Sus scrofa: one gene and its partner. The protein of the gene in region 2 purifies or fractionates together with the protein of the main gene of each other region. This does not show direct contact. Links are inferred from orthologs where the notes say so. Each region holds a gene or a part of one and is shown on either strand. Other genes may lie near its edges.

What was found.
Region 1: the proteins of ARHGEF6 (region 2) and PAK2 purify together in Homo sapiens (affinity purification with mass spectrometry; 3 studies listed by BioGRID and IntAct, counting the BioPlex papers as one, with this or other methods). This does not show direct contact. The link is inferred for Sus scrofa from reciprocal best matches to the Homo sapiens genes ARHGEF6 and PAK2.

What each region holds. Positions count from the first base shown.
Region 1 is NC_010455.5:133,380,600-133,384,861, reverse strand, and holds the start of PAK2 (serine/threonine-protein kinase PAK 2), read left to right. Parts: upstream 1-1,355; 5' UTR 1,356-1,698; exon of another isoform or gene 1,699-1,927; intron 1,928-4,262. UniProt on the Homo sapiens protein: Serine/threonine protein kinase that plays a role in a variety of different signaling pathways including cytoskeleton regulation, cell motility, cell cycle progression, apoptosis or proliferation.
Region 2 is NC_010461.5:111,802,048-111,805,855, forward strand, and holds part of ARHGEF6 (rho guanine nucleotide exchange factor 6), read right to left. Parts: intron 3,574-3,808; coding exon 3,474-3,573; intron 2,043-3,473; coding exon 1,988-2,042; intron 478-1,987; coding exon 337-477; 3' UTR 1-336. UniProt on the Homo sapiens protein: Acts as a RAC1 guanine nucleotide exchange factor (GEF).

The DNA of each region.
Region 1 (4,262 bases), on a different chromosome or scaffold from region 2:
CAACTCCTTGAACAGGGCCAAGGCCTTGTCTTTGGTCTCTTGTCTCTTGTGCAGTCAGTAAAACCATGGAGATTTGAGATAAGTAGTTTCTTTCAACACAACTTTGGCTTCACTGACATGCTTACCCCTCCAATTTCTTGCTCTCCCTTTGGGTTGAGTGGGAGTTTGGAAATCTGTCAGAGGTACTTCTCTTTCTTAAAAGCTTAGTTATGCCTTTGAAAGGATGTTCTCTTTTATCCAGCAATGTGTTTTTAATAGTGGGGGCTGTTTTTCAAGTTATCTAATAGTGTGCCATATTGCTCCTTGAATCTTTTCTCTCGTACTTTCCACATCAGTTGAGTTTTTTGCTTCACATCTATCAAAAGAACATACCCATTCTCCATTTTCACTGCTATCTCTTATGACAGTCATGATTACTGCCTCCTTTCTTCATTCCCTTCTATTCTTGAAAACCCAGAGTCCATTCTCCATGTAGCAATCTAGTGACCTTAAAGTATAAACCAGGAAACCTTCCTTCCCTGCTTACAGCTCTTTAATAGCTTGTTGGAATAAAATCCAGCCTTCTTACCATGTCATTCAGGATCCTCTCTGACCTGAATCTTGTCTCCTCAGGTGTTTTTTCACACTGCGCTACTCTTCTTGCACTAACTCCAGTTACACAGACCCTCTTAACTGACCTTAGAAAGTCCCCCCCCACCTCCTTCTGCTTGTAATGCTTTCTCCTGGGAGTTTCTCATGGCTGTCTCTTTCTGTTCTCAGCTTAAATGTCACCTCCTTAAAGATGCCTTCTCTGGCCAACTTATCCAAAGAAATCATCCTAGTTTTTTCTTCATACCAGGTATCACTATTTTAATTATTGTGTTTTCATATTTGTAAGTTACACAAAGTGACTTGTGTTCACCCTTGTATTCCTGATACCCAGCAGTGTCTGGTACAAATTAGACACCAAAATATTTGTAGAATTAGTGAACACATTGATGAACTCCTCCTCCTCCATGAATAAAACAGAGGCATTAATTTGCAAGGAGGCGCGACTTAATTTAGCACCAAAATACATTAATAAGAGTTGTAGGTAAAGGGCAAAATGGGTAACGGATGAATTCCCAGAAACAAATGTCTTAGAGCAGGTTCATATAATAACAGTTGTCTTTCAGCGTCTTTGGTTGGCACAGACCTGAGTGGAGACAATGCTGAATTACACGAGGCACTGGCTGTCTCTGTCAATAAAAAGAATACTAGAGATGGAGGGAGGGAGGAAAAGAAGAGAGATAAGAGGCACACATCTCTAAACTACAACTCCCAGCAGCCTCCGCGTTTGCCTGCCCACTGGGAGGCGGTGCCTGTCTCCGCCCGGTGGAGCTCCCGCCTTCGGCCCCGCCCCTGCCCGCTCCCCGCCGTCGCCCTCCCCCAGGGTTGTGGCCACGCGCAGCGGCAGCGGTTGTTCCGCTTCCCCTCTGGCCTGGGCCGTCGCCATTGCCGAAGGCTCCCTGCCCTCCCCTCCCGGCGCCCGCGGGGCTCGGCGGCCGCCCGGCCTAGCAGTAGAAGCCGCGGCGCTCCAGCGCGGCTCCACTTCCCGCCCCGCTTCCCCTTCCCTCCCCTCCCCGCCCCGCGTCGCTCTCTTGCTCGGGGCGGCTCCTGATCCCGCCAGGAGCTCGGCCGGAGGCTCCTCGCTGGGGCGGGGACCTTTCCTCGCCTGGGGTAAGTGTGCAGACAGGCCGGGACGCGGGCCGTCGCTCTCCTTCCTCCTTCCTTCTCCGCGGCCTGGCCGGCGCGAGCGGCCCGGGGCAGCTGACCTGCCCCGCGCGGGGCCGGGAAGCCGCCACCTGCGTGCCTGGAGCGGCAACTCTTGGGGCGGTGGCTCATTGTCTGCGCCCTCGGGCTGTTTTCTTCTCCGGTTTTAGCCTGAAATGGGAAGCTTGCTAGGCTGGTGAGTTCTGACTCTTCCTGGACCCGGCCCTGCCCTGAACCGTGTCGCGCCAATCTCTGCTCTCTGTCGATCTCCCTTCCCTCGCGTTTCAGCCTTCTCTTTTTCTCCATTTACTTTAGTGTTCGACTCACCGTTTCGGGGTTTTTAACTCGATTTTTTGTCTCTTACCGAGTTCCAGCCCCACCTTGCTACCTTTGGTCATCCCAGTTTCATTGCTTAGGCATATTGTCTGTAGTCCCCTTACTGGTTTCTAAACTGTAATCTGTGATATCTTCCATATTCCGGATCAGTAGAAACTATAGTTTTCCGAGGGTTTGAGGGCCTCCGCTTGATAACTGAGCTTTCGTATCTTCTCGTGATTCTTTGATCTTCAGCCAGGAGATGAATATTTGCTTCCTTAGGTAACTTAGGTGAAGGTTAGCTTTCACCATGTTTGGCTTTCTTTAAAATAACACACACATGCAAAACGGTACCGAAAATTCCTCAGCGGACTCAACTTTTTGACTAATTCTTTAAAGATAGAGTCATCCAAGAACTGAAGATTGGAAAGCAATTGCCATTGTTGTCAGTTGTCGTGGGGTTGTACCCGTCCTTGTCTCTTATCTTTAATGGAAACACTCTGGACAGTGAGAGCGTGATTTCTTTCCTCCTTGATGAATAATGCCAACTCCCATTGGTATAATTATCACAGTTTTGTCTTACAAGTGATCTATAGTTTTTTGTTTTCTTTTTAAAGCTCTGTTAAAAGACAATCAAAATGGTTAGGCCTAAAATTAGACTACGACGAGCAGTGTTTTGGATCAAGGTTGTGCACGTCACGTTTTTTCCCCTCCTCTGTTTGACTCTTCCGCTCTTGTAAGTAGGCAGGATATTGAAATGTAGAAGAATTTGCTCTGGGGGTTTGTTTTTGTAGGGTTACTCAAAAGAATAACATTAAATAAAGTTAGATTGTGATGAAGGCAGTGAATAGTAATTTTTAAAGCAGGTTAGAACTTGTCAACTTTGCCAGAAGCTCTGCGGCATTTATAAAACACACTTATAATAACTTCTACATGTTTTATATATGTGTATTTAAAAAATATGCATGTGAATGAAAAGCTTTGTTCATGTTCTTCTGCTAAGGGTATTGATTTAAGGCAACTCCTTTCATCCTTAGCTTTAAAATCTTTCTGGTTATTAATTAGCCCAAAACACTGACTTACGTTATGAAAAATGCACCTTAAGATGTTTCTGACCTGTAATATATGGAGGTATTAAACCCCACTTTCAGGTTTTGGTGAAGGAGGTTGACCTAAATTCAGTGAATTTTGTGTTTTCACTAGTTTATTGTTACCTAAACGACTTAGTCCTAAGCTTCACTATTGTCAAATTGGTGGTGTCTGTTGTCCTTACTTCAGTGACGTGCCTTGTTGGCCTAAGGGGTTAAGGTATGGAAGTGCTGGCGTGTGAAACAAGGTCCATTGAAGTCAGCCTCTCTGCCAGTTCTTTCTGTAAGCAGATACTTTTACTTGGGAAGAGTTCTGGGTGTTCTCCCCTTAGGTTGGGGCCTTGATTCCTAGTTTACTTTACCATTATTCAAAGAGAGGGTTATTCTTTGGGGCTTTGTGACATTAAGTACTAACCTGGGAAACCCAAATTCATAAAGTAAGTTTGTGGTAGGAGTCTGTCCACAAAACAAATGAATAGGGGTTTCTTTGGTTTTCTCATTTCTATGATAAGCAGATTTCCAGTAGACATGGTCATCAGTGATATATATGTCTTCTCAATTACACTTTTTTAAAGAGAAAACTTAGAACTTGTCCAAGTGGCTAAGGATAAACTTTCAATTATTTTAAAAGAGAGACCTTGTTCAGACAGCTAGGGATAAAATAAGTAGGTATTAAATTCTCCCCATGTTTAATCTGTCAATATTGATTAACCTAATATTTGAGTGTAACATTTCTTTTGGCTTTCTGAATTGTCTAGTTTTGATTAAAAACGTGAAACTGTGCCTTGTTCAAGTCTTTAAGAATTTGGGGTTCTGATCAGTTTTCAAAAGGCCTTCCAGTTAGAGGGCTAATTGCAGACCACGGGGCAGGGGGGAGAGGGGGTGTTAAGGTGCAGATCTGGGTTGACCCTTATAACCTTCTTGTACCTTGGTAGAAACAGAAAGAGGTGGAAGAAAATAGCCCCTGTTGCCTTAAAGAATTTTGTTTTCTTCTGGGAACGGAGTTGAGTCTCACTGCTTCTTCATTTTAGGATCACTAACCTGAATAAGAATAGTCGGTCTGAACATTCAGGCCAGATTTCAGAGGCCTAGCCTATTATCTCTAAGGTACACTAGTACTTACCGCTC
Region 2 (3,808 bases):
AACAAGAGCGACCCGGGGATGATGGCTGGAAAAGAGGCACTGTGAATGGAAGGCCATCTGAGGACCCTGGGAGTCATCTGCCTACGTTAGCCCTCCTTTTCTGACTGAGTGGGAAAGCCTCCGGGGAGACTTGGCTTTTACTCCTGTCGAAAAAAATAACCAACCAACCAACCAATAACCAAACAACAACACTCAACCAGAGAGAGAGAAAGAGAGAGAGAGAGAGAGAGACTAAGATACAAAATAAAAACCAAAGAAGTGAGCGAGCTGAGTCGGGTCACTCAGCTGGACATCTGCCGCCGCCGCCAAGGCACTCTGCCAGCCGCACGGTGATGGTTAGGGAAGAAGGGAGGCTTTGCTGCTGGACTCGGCCCGAATACACTCATCGGTTTGCTTCAGCAGCCTCCGGACCAGCTTTTCTAGGTCTCTTCTTGATTTCAACTCCTCTTCCAGGCATTGCTTCATTCTTTTATTCTCCTACAATGGGAAAAGGCTGGCTGGTTACCAGGCAAAGGGACCCCATCTCAGGGCTCCTCCGGCTCAGCCTCCTGCTCAGCCTTCACAAGCAACTACACGCTCCTTCCTCAAACTCCGCTCCCTCAGCTTCCAGGACAAGGCAGCCTCTGGATTCCCCTACTTCTCCGTGGCCAGTCCCTGAAACACAAGCATCATGTAGGGCTCTGGCCCTGGCCCTCTTCTATTTCAACACTCTCTTTACCTAATGTCTTCTCTCTTTCAACTCACGTCTCTCCGAAGCAGCCTCTCCGTCTTTCTGGTACGGACCTCCTCTCGGCTCATGTGCACTGGGTCCCCGGTCCCCAGTGCCGACCTGATATTTCCACTTACATGTGTTACGAGGACCTCAAACTCACTGTGTCCTAAAGCGAAGTCAGTATCTCCCCTCATCACCCAAACTTCTTTTCCTTCTGATTTCCGTGAAGGCCACTGTCATATCAAACTGGATACCCAGGTAAGAAGCTTCCTCTTCAATCCCTGGCTTTTTTTTTTTTTTTTTTTTTTTTTTTTTTTTTGCCACTCCCTCAGCGCGTGGAAGTTCTTGGGCTGGAGCTGGAACCCAAGCCACAGCAGCGACCTGAGCCACTGCAGTGATAATGCCAGATACTTAACCAGTTGAGCCAGAAATTCCCCCTGGTTCGCTCTTTTCCTTTCTTTCTTTCTTTCTTTCTTTCTTTCTTTCTTTCTTCCTTCCTTCCTTCCTTCCTTCCTTCTTTCTTTCATCTCTCTCTCTCTTTCTTTCCTTCTTTCTCCTGCTTTTTAGGGCCGCATGTGCCAAATATGTGAGTTTCCAGGCTAGGGGTCTAATCGGAGCTACAGCTGCCAGCCTAGGCCGCAGCCACAGCAACGCCAGATCCAAGCCGCGTCTGTGACCTATACCACAGCTCACAGCAATGCCAGATCCTTAACCCACTGAGCAAGACCAGGGATTGAACCCGAACCCGCGTCCTCATGGATGCCAGTCGGGTTCGTTAATCACTGAGCCACAACGAGAACTCCTGACTTATCTTTTCTTATATTCTGTTTGCAAATGTCCAGGAACATGAAAGTTGTCATTAAGTTTGGGGCCCTACTGTAAACCCCTCAAAAAATATATGAGGAAGCCTCAGAAATTGAAACCCAGGGCCATGTGGTAAAATCCACAAAACCTGGATGACACAAGGGAACTACAAATCCCCACCTCGCCACCTTGTTCTGGTCCTTTCCTGAAGGTGTCGACCAGTGAGAAAAAAACTCGGGAGTTCCCGTCGTGGCGCAGTGGTTAACAAATCCTACTAGGAACCATGAGGTTACAGGTTCGATCCCTGGCCTCACTCAATGGGTTAAGGGTCTGGCATTGCTGTGGCTATGGTGTAGGCCGGTGGCTTCAGCTCCGATCAGACGCCTAACTTGGGAACCTCCAAATGCCATGGGTGCAGCCCTAGAAAAGACAAAAAAAAAAAAAAAAAAAAAGACTTTCGGATTTCATTACCTGTTTCAGCTCTTTGACCTCATCTTTCAAGGCATAAACAGTATCGACGAGGCTCCTAGAATACAAAGGTAAAGCTCAGAGAGTAACAGCTGGCACTGAAGTATTGTTAAGTGATACTTTAGAAGAAAAGCAGCTTTATAGAAACACAGATCCTGCAAAGCGGTGGGCTTTCTGGCTGATGGGAGAGACGCTGCTGTGGATACTCCCTAGGTTCCTCACTTGTGCCACACACGCGTGTTCAAGCACTCTCCCCATCCTCACACCTTGTCTATGCCTCCCTCCTCCTCTGCGGCTCACTTCCCGGCTTGGGCGGGTACCAAAAAAGAGATTAGTATATTGTATACCTGCAACTTGCAGAATATTGTACATCAACTCTACTTTCATAGAAAAAAAAGAATTAAGGGGAAAAATCAAGAAAAGAAAGGGAGTAGGACTCCTTCTAAGATTTTGCTTTCTCTCTTGTGGGCAAGAAGGACCACCACCTGTAAGGAGAGGTGGCATTGCCCTTCTTGCCTATCTGACCCTACACCACCGTACAGGACACAAATTCAGGGTGTTCTGGAACATTCCATATATTCAGAAAAAGGATAAAGTGCCTTGGCTGAGTTGTGGAAGAGCCCTTTCCTCTCTGGATCTCCCCCTGGAAGAGGACTTCGGAGATCTGGGTTCCAGTTCTGATCCCACGACTTCCTGGTCCTCTAACTTTGGGCAACCAGTTCCCTTCACATACAAGTTGGTGGTAATGCTACAGTCCCTGAAAACCTCACAGAGTTGCTGTGGGGATGCATATAGCTATAATCTTAGTAATTACAACCACCATCATATGTTAAGTGATTACCTTTGTACTTCTTACTCCATTTAAGCTCACAACCACCCTGAAAGTATTACTATCACACCCATCATATAGATGGGGAAACTGAGGCACAGAGGGGGCAGGAACTTGCCCCAGGTCACACCAACAAGGAGCAGAACTTGCAGTTGAACCAGGGCTGTTCTTCTCTTGAGCCCAAGTGCTTTACCATTTGGCCGTAGCACTTCAAACACCAGATGGAAAAATACATTGACGACGCCAAGCACCGTGAAATATGCTGTCCTAGGCAAATTTAGCCTTGACTTCAGAAATGAGTCAAGTTTAAACCAATGAATTGTTTGTCTACTTTGTGTTTATTTTATGAGCCATACGGCATTTAGCCTGATTTTTCCCCCACTGGGTCACCCTCACCACTGTGCAAAGGGAGGCCAGGGACACGATTTCCTTAAACGTCAGTTTCCTCATCTCTAAAAGGGGGAAAACTAATTGTTTATCTCACTAGCTTGCGGTAGGAGTTCAAATGAGTCAGGCATGTGGAAGTCCAGGGTCCGAGTCAATAAATGTGAGGGGCATCCCTGGGCTCCCAATTGCACGATCAGCAAAGAGGGCCAGGCTCCCAGAACCTTCTTTCCAGCCCCCAGACCAATCAGGAACCGTTTCACCTGCTCTACTCACTTCTCTTCGATGATGGTCTGGCCGTTGCTCCTGGTTTCTTCAATGATGAGTTTCTCCTCCTCGGGAAGTAAGACTTGGGGAACGGAGTCTTTGCGAGAACCTACAGACAAGGTTGGCAGGAGGCAGGAGAGGGGAGAGTTACGAGGGGAGAGGACTTGTTGCTGTCAGGCCCTTTCTCCTATTGTTTTTGTGGGGTCTCCTGTGGCTGCCAGGCATCTGGCTCTTTCGGACGCGAGACCTGCAAAGCAGCCAAGTCCCTGGAGTCAATCCTGGGGGCGGGGGGCACATTCTCGTTTAGAAACCTAACGTGAAAGGGCCACCGGGAGCCCCATCCT